3 linked regions of the Drosophila melanogaster genome follow. The protein of the gene in region 1 interacts with the protein of each later gene in a pairwise test. Each region holds a gene or a part of one and is shown in the gene's direction. Other genes may lie near its edges.

The links.
Region 2: the proteins of Eh (region 1) and CG31600 interact in a two-hybrid assay, tested with the Drosophila melanogaster proteins (one large-scale study listed by BioGRID).
Region 3: the proteins of Eh (region 1) and CG14100 interact in a two-hybrid assay, tested with the Drosophila melanogaster proteins (one large-scale study listed by BioGRID).

What each region holds. Positions count from the first base shown.
Region 1 is NT_033777.3:17,446,142-17,450,902, reverse strand, and holds Eh (eclosion hormone), read left to right. Parts: upstream 1-2,044; 5' UTR 2,045-2,136; intron 2,137-3,372; 5' UTR 3,373-3,443; coding exon 3,444-3,552; intron 3,553-3,628; coding exon 3,629-3,657; intron 3,658-3,858; coding exon 3,859-4,014; 3' UTR 4,015-4,261; downstream 4,262-4,761. UniProt on the Drosophila melanogaster protein: Neuropeptide that triggers the performance of ecdysis behaviors at the end of a molt. It triggers adult behavior patterns: larval, pupal and adult ecdysis, and plasticization during the molt.
Region 2 is NT_033779.5:21,913,654-21,917,025, reverse strand, and holds CG31600 (uncharacterized protein), read left to right. Parts: upstream 1-1,667; 5' UTR 1,668-1,723; coding exon 1,724-1,768; intron 1,769-1,827; coding exon 1,828-2,010; intron 2,011-2,059; coding exon 2,060-2,224; intron 2,225-2,277; coding exon 2,278-2,586; 3' UTR 2,587-2,757; downstream 2,758-3,372. Other genes in the region: CG11634 (uncharacterized protein), read right to left, coding at 1-621.
Region 3 is NT_037436.4:19,588,430-19,592,271, reverse strand, and holds CG14100 (uncharacterized protein), read left to right. Parts: upstream 1-1,747; 5' UTR 1,748-1,793; coding exon 1,794-2,869; intron 2,870-2,929; coding exon 2,930-3,077; 3' UTR 3,078-3,200; downstream 3,201-3,842. Other genes in the region: ash1 (absent, small, or homeotic discs 1), read left to right, coding at 1-454, 514-720, 791-970; CG9330 (uncharacterized protein), read right to left, coding at 3,289-3,441, 3,501-3,592, 3,659-3,842.

The sequences.
Region 1 (4,761 bases):
CATGCGGCACTGAGGACTGAACAGATTGAGCGAGCATAACGAGCTACACAGCTTCATTACTTACAATAGAAATCTATAACTTTAAATGAAGTTATTTTATATTTAAGAAACAGAGATAACAGTAATACAGCTGTAAGCTCTTTTCATATAATATTGTTTTAGCGAAATGCACCAGATCCATCATTGCCATTATTTCCAGTCCCACTGTAGGTATATATTTAAATAAAGTTTTTTGTTCGACCTGGCAAAGTTTGCAGCTACAAAATAGGCTTCATTGCTCTTTTGTCATGCCCGGCAGAAGCTGGCAACATATATAGTCGTATATCTTGGAGCTAAAATCAGTGGCACAATGAGCATATTGTGTGGCTAAAAAATTTAATGCTTACGTGCCTGAAATATCTACCGAGGCACAAAGGATGCGATTGCAATGTATGAAAGGGATATGTGAGGCGCATCGACTCTTCGGGCAGAGTTCATAAATAAAGCGTCCGAAAATCTCGACTTTTGGCTTGGTTTAAAATAAAAGTTTCTTGCCGTCGCCGGAAAAAGAGTGGAGAAATTGCTTTCGAAAATGCAGCGCTATAAAGAAAATCGTTTACTGATTTACTTGCTCTGCTGTTATGTGGGAAAGGGGGCAACTGGGGAGGGGAAATGCTGCAACTAATAAAAGTTTTTGCTCTTCGACGGCGCGTTCGGTGGTGTGCCACGCCCACCAACACACTCTCGCTTCCTGGCCATCGGTTGAAATGTTTGCTGTTGTGGCTTTTCAGCAATTTCAACGTACGTCCAGTGGGGCACAACACAAAAAGAAGAGTTCAATCCGCCCTGCACTTTAATAATGAGATTTATATTGAACCAAATTGATTGCCTCCAAGGGAGTCAATAAATGGACCAATAAACATCTCATTGATCAGGTTCTCCTCGAGCCAACAATTTTAGTGTCATCATAAAACTAGTGAATTGGGGAGAGGATGCGTGGAGCGACTGAAACACTCCCATTATCTTTCAAGTTCAAAACGTTAAATCGAGATGTACATATTTCGCAAGGGGATAAACATTAAAAAACAGTAACATTCCTCTCTAGCTTTGGAAATATATGTAGCACAAAAAAAACTAAATTTTAGACTCAAATAATCTATTTAAAATTTATAATTTTTAAAGAATACATTATTTGCTTCACTCTTCTCAGCTGCGTTATATTTTAATCTAGATTTGCGATTTGACATTTTCAGCATGTGTGGCCACCTGCTGATGGCTTACGGAGAACACATTTTACACATTTATCTACATCTATATTAAAGACGACACCTAGCGGTAAAATGAAAGACGAACTGCTTGAGGTCGATATGCACTGCTTTCAAGTAACGGTCTGAAAAAATATTTTGATTTCTGTTAAAACGTATGTACATACATGTAAATAGGATTTGTTTTTATAAATTAATAAAAATAAAATAAAAAAACTTAACTCAATTTATAATTACGCCATATGTTAAATTATTTTAGTGCTTATACATCTATGCTCATTGTAATTAAGTTCTATGCTTCCTACGTCTTTAAAATAAATATTTGATATAACCCAAAAGCATAAACAAAAAAAAAATAGCCACTTACATACACAGTTCGGTTTTCCACCCATTCGTGATTTCCTGATTTATTGACTATGCTAGTTAAAGCTTATTTATTAGTTTTTTGCTAATACTTGCAACTGAGAAATAAATCTAACCCAACAAGGCGTACTGTTGGAAAAACTACTCCTTTCGGCAGTATCATTTCCTGTTTTGGGCTACAACCTGCTGACCAGGCCGAAACCAGAGCTCAAAGAAACGCAATTAAACTGGCTAAGTAACATCGAGTACTCAGAACACCGCTGTGAAAAGCACTCAAGAAAGCCAGCCAGCCAGCCAGCCAGCGGAAGTGACATTTTGCCATTTTGCACATATTCAATTAGGTGGACTTGCTGGCGAGATAAATTGATTAATTTGCCTGTGCAAATCAAACAATCGCACGAGATCCAGCGTATAAATACAACAAGAACTCTGCATTCTAGAACCAGTTTCCAGCAAACAAACGTGTTGCCAAGTACTTGGCGAGTTATCCAAAAAGCCCACACCTTTGCTGCCAAACAATCAACTACCGGTAAGTTTTGAGTACCGTTCCTACGTCACTGGACCGAAAAATCTTAAGCCTGTCTCGAAAGTGTCACGCCCACAAATCGCTGCTTATGTGACGTATACGCCGCATGGTCTTTACACATTACTCATACGTTGGCGCGTGTTGCCAATTAGTTAGGAAACATACAATTTGTGGCGCATAAAATTAACATAACTACAGAATTTCCCACGATTTGGTTGACTTTTTTGTTTGTTCATTTTTCATATTTTAATTTGTGAGATTCGCTGGAATATATTTATATCGAAACCAGTTGGCAGCGTGTCCGGTTGGAGGCAGGACAAAAGAATTCTTATTTTATTTACATTTTACTGGGGCGAAACGTATTGTTGCGGCGGCATCTGGTCTTGGATCCGTTCTACGCTTTACATTTTAACCATATTTTTACTGCATTTACAGCGCCATTAATTAATGGGCTCGCCAGTCGCATACGATTTGCATTCATTACGATTTCAGTTCGATTCGGCTGTGTCCGTTCGCTTGACACTTCCTGATACTATAGCAGTTTTTCAAAAAGAGCTTTTCGCCGTTGCTACTTTCTTTCCCAAGTCCGGTGAATTTTTAAATGTGCTCTTGAAAATCGGGGAAATTTTTGTAAAGTAATGTTTCTTGGGGATTTGCCATTATGGGTTGGGTGCTTTACAGACTAATTTTGAAATCATCAATTTCTTCGATAACCACTCTTTTCAAAAAAAAAACTAAAAAAAAAATTGGTAATTAAAGCAAAAAAGTTTTTTGTCGTGTATAAGTCCACATTGGATATTCCATTTATTATATTAAATAAATTCCTACAACTCATTTATTCATCCCGCCCATTTAAAAGTGTCATAAAATCTGTTCAGATAATTATGCAAATTAAACAAACTCTTTTCTAAGGAGAACACATTTCAAATGTGTGTAAGTTTGCGTATCGCCCGCTACTTTGCATACGCTTACAAAATAAAATGGGTATTTGATTGGGCTCGAATCGATTTCGATTGGCTCGAAGACCTGACGTATTTTAGCGCCACTGGGGCTGGCTTGTCGTGTCGACTTGTCTCGCATCTGCGACCGGCTTCAATAGTTGCTTTTTTTTTATTTTTTTGCTGCCGTATCGGGCTTCTTTACTCTGTTAAGCTTTCGCATCTGCGTTTGGGCCGAGAGCATATGTATATAAAATAAGAAGACAAACGAGCGATAATAATTATTTCCAATCTGCTCTAGACAGACAACGGTCGCAAGCTAGTCAGCTCCCCAAACACATCCGTTGGAATCAAAGTACCAATATCACCATCATGAACTGCAAGCCCTTGATTTTGTGCACCTTTGTGGCAGTTGCAATGTGCCTGGTGCATTTTGGAAATGCATTGCCCGCCATAAGTCATTATACGCACAAGAGATTTGGTAAGCTATATAAATTTCCCTACTTTCTGTATGCTCTTGTACTAAACTACTATTTCTGCTTAATGTTTTCTTGCAGACTCCATGGGTGGCATTGATTTTGTTCAGGTGGGTTAGAAATTTAAGTTTTAGTGATTTTAATATAAATAAATATTTAACTTAAATCATATTGGGTCATTATTAAAATGATGTGAAAATGTACTTTCCATATGCATTCATTTGATCCTGAGATTTAAATATTAATATCCTTAAAAGTTCCACAAATTATATTAACAAAATTGTTTTACATATTTTTAATTTTTTATCCAGGTGTGCCTTAACAACTGCGTCCAGTGCAAGACCATGCTGGGAGATTACTTCCAGGGGCAGACCTGTGCCCTTTCCTGCCTCAAGTTCAAGGGCAAAGCCATCCCGGACTGCGAGGATATAGCCTCCATAGCCCCGTTTCTGAATGCGCTCGAGTGAAGCGATAAGAGGCGCCTCTTGTGCGATGTGCGGTGTGTGTGGCGGTGTGTGCTTTTATGGCCTGTGACTCAGGTGTGGATTTGGGTCAATGTGATGCTCAACACGATGCTCAAGTCTTGGCGATCTTGGCTGCTGATATCGACCACAACGATGATGAAATGACTTTTGCTAAACAACTGACTTTCTAGCGTGAAACCAAAGAGTTCCTATTAACTTGTAATTGTGTAGTAAATAAACAAATATTAAGAAAAATACATGTGTTGTGTTGTAACCAAAGTTGTTTTTGAGCATGAAATGGGTGTTAGTTAAATCTTTTAATGGATTGATGGAATTTTTATATCTTAATGTATTACTTACCATTATCGCCTAAGAAAAATTAAACATATATTGATTTTAAATTTTATTTAAAAAATACTTGCATATACAAAAACTTACATCGAGATATATTTTTAAAATTATTTATGTTTTCTTTTTTTTGATTGCTTCGATATGCTTTAACTTAAAGGCTCTATTTCTGCTATTTAATATTAATATATACAGAATGTATGGTTCATGCACGGAAATGCTGGAAAGAGCTCTGAAGAAATGGCAGTGTCATAACTACTGACTCGCTATAGAAATGCGGATGGTGAGCAAAGACTAGTTGAGGGACTAAGCAGTAAGAAGTGAAAAGATTTTGAACTATAGAAGACAGACGGTACAGGATATGGAGTCAAACAAAATGAATCGAGATTGTAAAACAAATCG
Region 2 (3,372 bases), on another chromosome or scaffold:
GGAGACGGATGCGAAGGCCAACGATTCGCACTGACTTATGGCAATGGCCTCCTGGTTATTGCGGAATGTGTGAAATGTTACTACTCCAGTTGGGTAACTTCCCAGCTTATCGTGCGTACAGTCACACACAAAAATGGGTGAAGCCATTGGTGGGGCAACCTCCGAAATGCAGGCCCTTATTATGTTAAAGTTGGAGGTGTGGCATTTCTCCAGTGCTGCCAGATAGCTAGGATGTTCGGCCACAAACTTACTAAGAGGATGTAGCTTAGACAGGATTCGCTCGACGATCTCCCCGCGAATTTTCTCTTCAACCAGAACCATGGCCACCGCATTCGAGGCAAAGGGATTATGAACCGACTCAATAATAAAGTGCAGTGCACTGTTGATGTCGCCTTCTTCAAATATAATCATCAATTGGGGAGATGAAGTGACATCGTGTCCTATATGCCGGTCAGCTTCCGATGTCATTTCGATGACACTGTGATCAGGTGATCTTCCCTCCGGGTTATGGACCATATCGTAGGTGACGACATGATCCAGTGACAAGGACTCATTGTGCTCCGACTGGGACGGATGCTCGGAATCAACTGAACGCGGAAAGTATTTAGTTGTATCGAACATGGCTTATCAAAAACTTCACTGTAATGTAAAAAATTTGTTTTTATATATTTTGAGATTTATTTGAATGGCAAACGCGATTGGATATGATTAAATGAAACATTTCTGACACATTTTCATATTTCAATTATTTTGTTATTTTTTTTAATCTACCAGGAATTCTAATATCACTTGAGTACTAAGTACTAAACCGCTCAATGCGGCGCACTCTGAGTCCTAACCATCGGCATTTATCAAAAGCAATATAGTTTTACTGGCCCCTTCCATCCATTGCCACATCGAGGGAATTCAAAAGAGCACCCATAACCCACGGTGCCCCTTATTTGTTAATCGCTTAATTTATGATCAAATGCGACAGTAAAATTAAAATATCACAAACAGATACAAAACACCAAAGTATTTAGCCATCGTCCAAATAGAATGCCAGAAATGCATTGGATTTGTTGAAATTAGCATTAATAATTATAAATATTTTGCCAAAATATTACAATTTTTATTGTGCATTTCGAACTACACCCTTTTTGACTTACAACAAAGAGCATACGATTATGAAATAACAGAACAGAGCCAACAGCGACAATTAAAATATTTAAAGCCACAGAAATATTTTTTCGCATGGCCCATTGGCGAACTGAAAACCCACAACAAAAAGTGCGTAGTAAATTTCCTAACGAGTTGAGGGACATCCATGTGGACATCAAGTGCAGCAACAATACAGCCATATACGGAATGATAATTTTGCTAACGATGACCATTTACATATATCAAGAGTAATTATAATAAAATGCCGAAAATAAAATTAAAATTAATATAGAAAGCCGATTATAAAATCATGTTTATACCTACAAACAGTTATCGCACACACTCTCATTCGTTGTAGCAAAAACAACTGTCAAAAATAGCAAATCCCATAAATCAACAATGAAATTTTGCCAGAAAAAAGGAATTGAAACACAAATAGAAAAACCTGCGTGATTTCGTATACATACATAATTGGGAAAACAAAAATTTGAATTTATGTGGTAGGCCATTATTTCCAGCTTCGAATATTTTGTCAATTTGCGTAGAATAAAATTGAGCTACGTATATTAAAATAATTCTCAAAATGGTAGAGGGCATGATAAAAAAGCTAACTGCTATTTTATTTGGGGTAAGTATTTAATCAGCAGCCCGTCTTCAAGTTTTTACTGACAACTTTTCTACACTTAGCTTGTATTGGCTGTGTTATTTCGAGTAATTATACCCTTTACTCTGCGACTTAAAAGCGCTGAAATAACCATTAATGTGCTTAACTGTTTTAATTTTCTAACAAGTACCGTTTCCATTACCATTTGCCTGAATTTGGTCAGCCTATACTTAGCCAATTTGCGTGATGATTGGCTTGTTCTCGGGGTAAGGACTTTACCAAAAAAAAAACGTGAGGTTGATAATTGTAAATTAGCTTATACCGCTGCAGATACTCGTCCTTCATTGGACTTACTTCACAATTTCAAAACAACTAGAAGCCATGAACAGGAGCTATAGTACATTCATGGATAGCTTAAACCTTAAATGGCTGGCATACTCCAATTTTAACGAGACAGATTGGCCTTCGATTGAAAATGCGGTATGTGTTATGCCTTTGCTCATTTGCCCTTTCAAGGGTTTTGCTTTTCACAGGTTTTATGCTGTGGACTGGAGGGTCCCCGTTCTTATATGGATTATCTACAAGGGGTTCCAACCCACTGCTACCATCCCGACCTTATCACCCAAGGTTGCAGTGACTTTGTTAAAAACATTTTTATGCCGATACAACATATAAGTCATTTGCAGCTCAGATTGGCTATTTTTGTGGAACTGGTAATTTTACTTATTCTTGCTGCAACGCTTTTGAAGAAATGTATTTCTTTGATCGGCGAAAGGAAACATAAAAGAGTTATTACACACGGGCTTGCGGTACTAATAGATTTAGTTAAAAACACATTTTGAAACATTAGCCTTATTAACCCTAACCAAATACTACTACTCTATACACTACCATGTAACCATTCTTGAGTACTAAATGCAGTTTCTTGTAATGTTTGTATTGTTTTAATCTATGCCACTGTATTGCATACAATATGTAGATGACAAATCGAAATGGAACAAAGAAATAAATTGAAATAAGCTGTCTTTTATTGCCGATGACAATTTGAATAAAATTAATATACAGTTTATCCTATTTTTAATTAATAAATGTCAAACATTTTGCGAGTATTGAGTATGAGTATTTAATTGTCTGATTTGTAATTTGGTTTTTTCCTGTTGTCTTTTTGTCATGGAAAATTGGTTTTGTTATAATTCGTTCGATGAGTACGAAAAAAGTTTCAAATGGCGAATGGAGTGGTAATAGGGTAGCGGAAACACACTTTGGTCTTGTGCAGCGGAAACGGAAGTGAGTATTAGAAGGCAAAATAAACTTTCGGAATGGAAAAACAATTCACATTAAGCAAAACGTACACATTTTTGACAATTCCATACCGTTATTATTGGTCTGAAAATGTACCGGTTTGCTTTTCCAAATTATAATTTATTGTCTTTTTTGGTTTAAAAATGTATATAGATAATATCAGGAAATCAATTGTGGAAAATGCATGAACGAAGGCGTGACCTAAGGTAGATGTATGAACAGTGCTTTCTATTAATTTAAAACAAATTGAATTTTCTTTATTATTTAATACCCCGCTAAAGAGATATTTTAAAAACAAGAGATAATGCTCGGATATACCGAGTTCC
Region 3 (3,842 bases), on another chromosome or scaffold:
GGATGAGTCCGGCAAGGTGTTACCGACGAAGAAGCACACCTATGAAACGATCGGAGCCATTGATTACCAAGAGTGCGATATCTTTCGGGTGGAGCACTTGTGGAAAAACGAACTGGGAAAGCGTTTTATATTCGGACACCATTTCCTGCGTCCTCATGAAACTTTCCACGAACCATCGCGTCGTTTCTACCCCAATGAGGTGGTACGAGTTTCACTTTATGAGGTGGTACCCATTGAGTTGGTCATTGGACGCTGCTGGGTGTTGGATCGAACAACTTTCTGTAAAGGACGCCCCATGGAATGCAACGATGAGGATCATTGCTACATCTGCGAGCTGCGTGTGGACAAGACGGCAAGGTTCTTCTCAAAGGCCAAGGCCAACCATCCAGCCTGCACCAAGAGCTATGCCTTCAGAAAATTTCCCGAGAAGATTAAGATCTCCAAGAGCTATGCGGTAAGTTTAATATTTTAAATAATAATAACGCCAGTTAACTAATGAGCATTAATGTGTAGCCCCATGATGTGGATCCGTCGTTGCTGAAGACAAGGAAGCAAAAGACTGAATTAGACGTAGGAGCCGGGCCAACAACGATGCACAAGGTGTCTGGCAGGCAGGAACAGCATCAGGCCAAGATGGTTGGGCGAAAGCCTCGTGGGATCAGTGCCCCAGCGGATGCAACTGCTGTCCATGTCGTAACACCCGTGGCGCCCAATAAACAGGTGTGCAGAGTTTTGAACAAGTTTTGAAATCAATCTATTACAATTAACTTTGTTTTCAATCTCCCTAAAGATGCTTAAGAAGAGGAAATCGCGTTTAGAGAACGTTTTGATAACTATGAAGCTTAAGTGTCTGGATGCACAAACGGCACAGGAGCAACCCATTGACTTGTCATACCTGCTGTCCGGACGCGGCGCCCGGCAGCGGAAGACCCAGCAGTCCAGTAGCAGTTCTACGGCCAACTCAACATAACCGATGTAACGCGAGTAGATTAAGCCGTGTATATACGCCTAAAGTTAGAGGCATTGATTAATATTTATGGAACTTCAATTAACAATTAGCATTTAGCCATGTAAGATGTAACGGTGATAGTAGTAATCCTAAAGTGTACATTGTTATGAACAAACTTCGTGAAAGGACTCCGGTCCCGGCTAGGATGGAACAGATTATGAATTATGGTTAATATAAGGATTTATTTAAATACTAGTGCTTACGCCACCGCACCAAGCCCCCAATTTAGATGAATTTCTTTTGTTTTTAATTGTTTATATTGGCTCTCCATATTAATTTTGTTTTACAAAACTATCCCCCTCTCGTCTTTGCAATTGAAGGCGTTTGACTTTTGCATTGTTATTTTAAATTATTGTATTATGTTATGGCTGCTTAATTATGTAACACCCGAGTAGGACAACTTATTGCGCTATTAGTTTTTAGTTATTTTCCAATTGTTATTAACTGCTAACAAAAATTTTAAAAGTGAAATAAAAAATATATTTTTATTAATCAAAGCCGAATTTTAAATGAACCGCCTGTTTAACACAAGTGTTGGATTGCCTAACTGTCGCGTTATTCAACACTGCTTGCATGGGCGTAGTGAAGTTTCTGATTCGGGGGACTTCGAATTTAAGATTATGAATCACTTTGTTCTTGTATCGCAAAAATTCATTTGCTTAGAGTTTTTCTGCATTTTTTTTTGGGATTAAAATAATAATCCCCCCTTAAATGTGTTTGCTTACGCCCATGACTATGCAAACAGATGTTCAGTGAAGTTGAATTGGATTGAATTGAATCGGCCATGCTGTGTAATATATTTAAACGCTCGCTTCAAGCGAATATAAGGAATGTGAATAACTTAAATGTGCTGCGGTTGAGCAGTTCCAGTGGTCCCCGAGGAGAGATCCAGGACGCACTGGACATAGAGGCCAATCTATTCGGGAATTCAGATTTAAGGCATGAGCCGATGAACACGAGGGAAGCTTTACGCAAGAATCGATTTGCCGGTAGAAAACCAAAGGTGCCATTTGCCTCAGTTGCATCTCGCAACCTCTCAGCTCCATCTAATCCTGCACCACGAGTGGCTCCAACTCCCGCTCCAGTAATTAAGGACAATGAGCTGAATCTGGAGTTTGTGCGTCTCACTCTGCAGGATCCACTTACCAGCACCCTACTAACCACAGTGCGCTCCCGCAAGCGCCGTGATAAGAACCGGCAGATCATCGTCGAAGGCCGTCGTCTCATCCAGGAAGCCCTGCAATGTGGTCTCAAAATGGAAGTACTCCTCTTCTCCCAGAAAGATCAGTTGGCTCTGGTCAAGGAGGAAGTAGGCGTGGCACAGGTGGAGACGGGTACCAAGATTTACAAAGTGCCGCAGCACGACCTAAAGACGTGGTCATCGCTGGTAACTCCTCCCGGTCTGATGGCTATCTTCGACAGGCCGTCGGACAAAGGCTTGGAGAAAAACCTGGCGGAGCAACAGCGTCTGGGCTCTCAGCCCTTTCCCATTACAGTTGTGTGCGACAACATCAGGGAGCCCAACAATCTGGGCAGCATTATAAGGACCTGCGCCGCGCTGCCCTGCAGTCAGGTGGTGGTCACCCACGGCTGCTGTGATCCCTGGGAATCGAAGGCCCTGAGAGGAGGCTGTGGCGGTCAGTTTAGAGTTCCAATTCGGGATGATGTAACTTGGGATGAGCTCGCGCTAACCATTCCGCCAGAGGCGGCCGACGACTGTCATGTTTTCATTGCCGAGACCAACCAAAGGAAGCGGGAGAACAACCAGACCATTGACTATGCAGATATCAAGGGTCTTGGAGCCCATAACTTGCTCATTATTGGCGGAGAGAGTCACGGAGTCAGTGAGGAAGCTTACCGGTAAGGGGGGAAACGAATAAGTTATAAAATGGAATGCTAATTATGTTTTTATATTGTCAGTTTCTTAAACTTGGTTGGAGGTAAGGGAAAGTGCATCTACATCCCGCTGGCAGCTGGCATCGATAGCTTGAATGTGGCATCTGCTCTGACGCTGTTGCTTTTTGAACTGCGCCGAAAACTCATTCATCAGGCATCAGAAAAAGAATAAGTTTGGAATAGCAACCGATATAATTAAATGTATTTTCTTTAATTGTTAATTTCTATGACAAAGTGTATAAATCGCAGTTAAATCCCATCAATAAACTTGAGTATATTTGTTATGATCCTTTCGAAAATACAATTTTCATCTTGTGTCAGGCATAATATAAATTTATTGCTAGGCTGTTTCACAAATATAGTAATTAATAATTACATTTAATTCAACTATTAGCTTCGATTTCCTTGTAAACCTCGCGCTTATACTCGTCCAGACCACCTTCGATCGCTCTGACTGTGCGATTGCCACACACCCAGAGTTCCTTGCAGACGACCTTAATGAGGCGTTCGTCGTGGGAAACCAGGATTACGCCGCCCTAAGAAAGACAGTACACATGTATTTCATGGTGTAAATTTCCACTAAAGTCCACTTTACCTTAAAGGCATTTATGGCTCGGCCCAAAGCATCAATGGTTTCAATGTCCAAGTGATTAGTCGGCTCATCGAGCACCAGGAAATTTGGCTCCGCTATAAAATAAATATATTATGTTGATGTTAATGTTATTGAAAGAAGATGGATAGTCACTATCTTACCCATGCACATCTTTGCTAAGGCCACTCGTGATTTTTGTCCTCCAGATAAACTGGCAATGCTCTGCAGTGCCAGTGGTCCGGATATGCCGAAGCTGCCCAACTGCCGGCGATACTCTTCGTCCGGGCGACCAGGAAACAGTTCTGCCAAAACTCCCACACACGTTACATTCATATTCAGATGGTC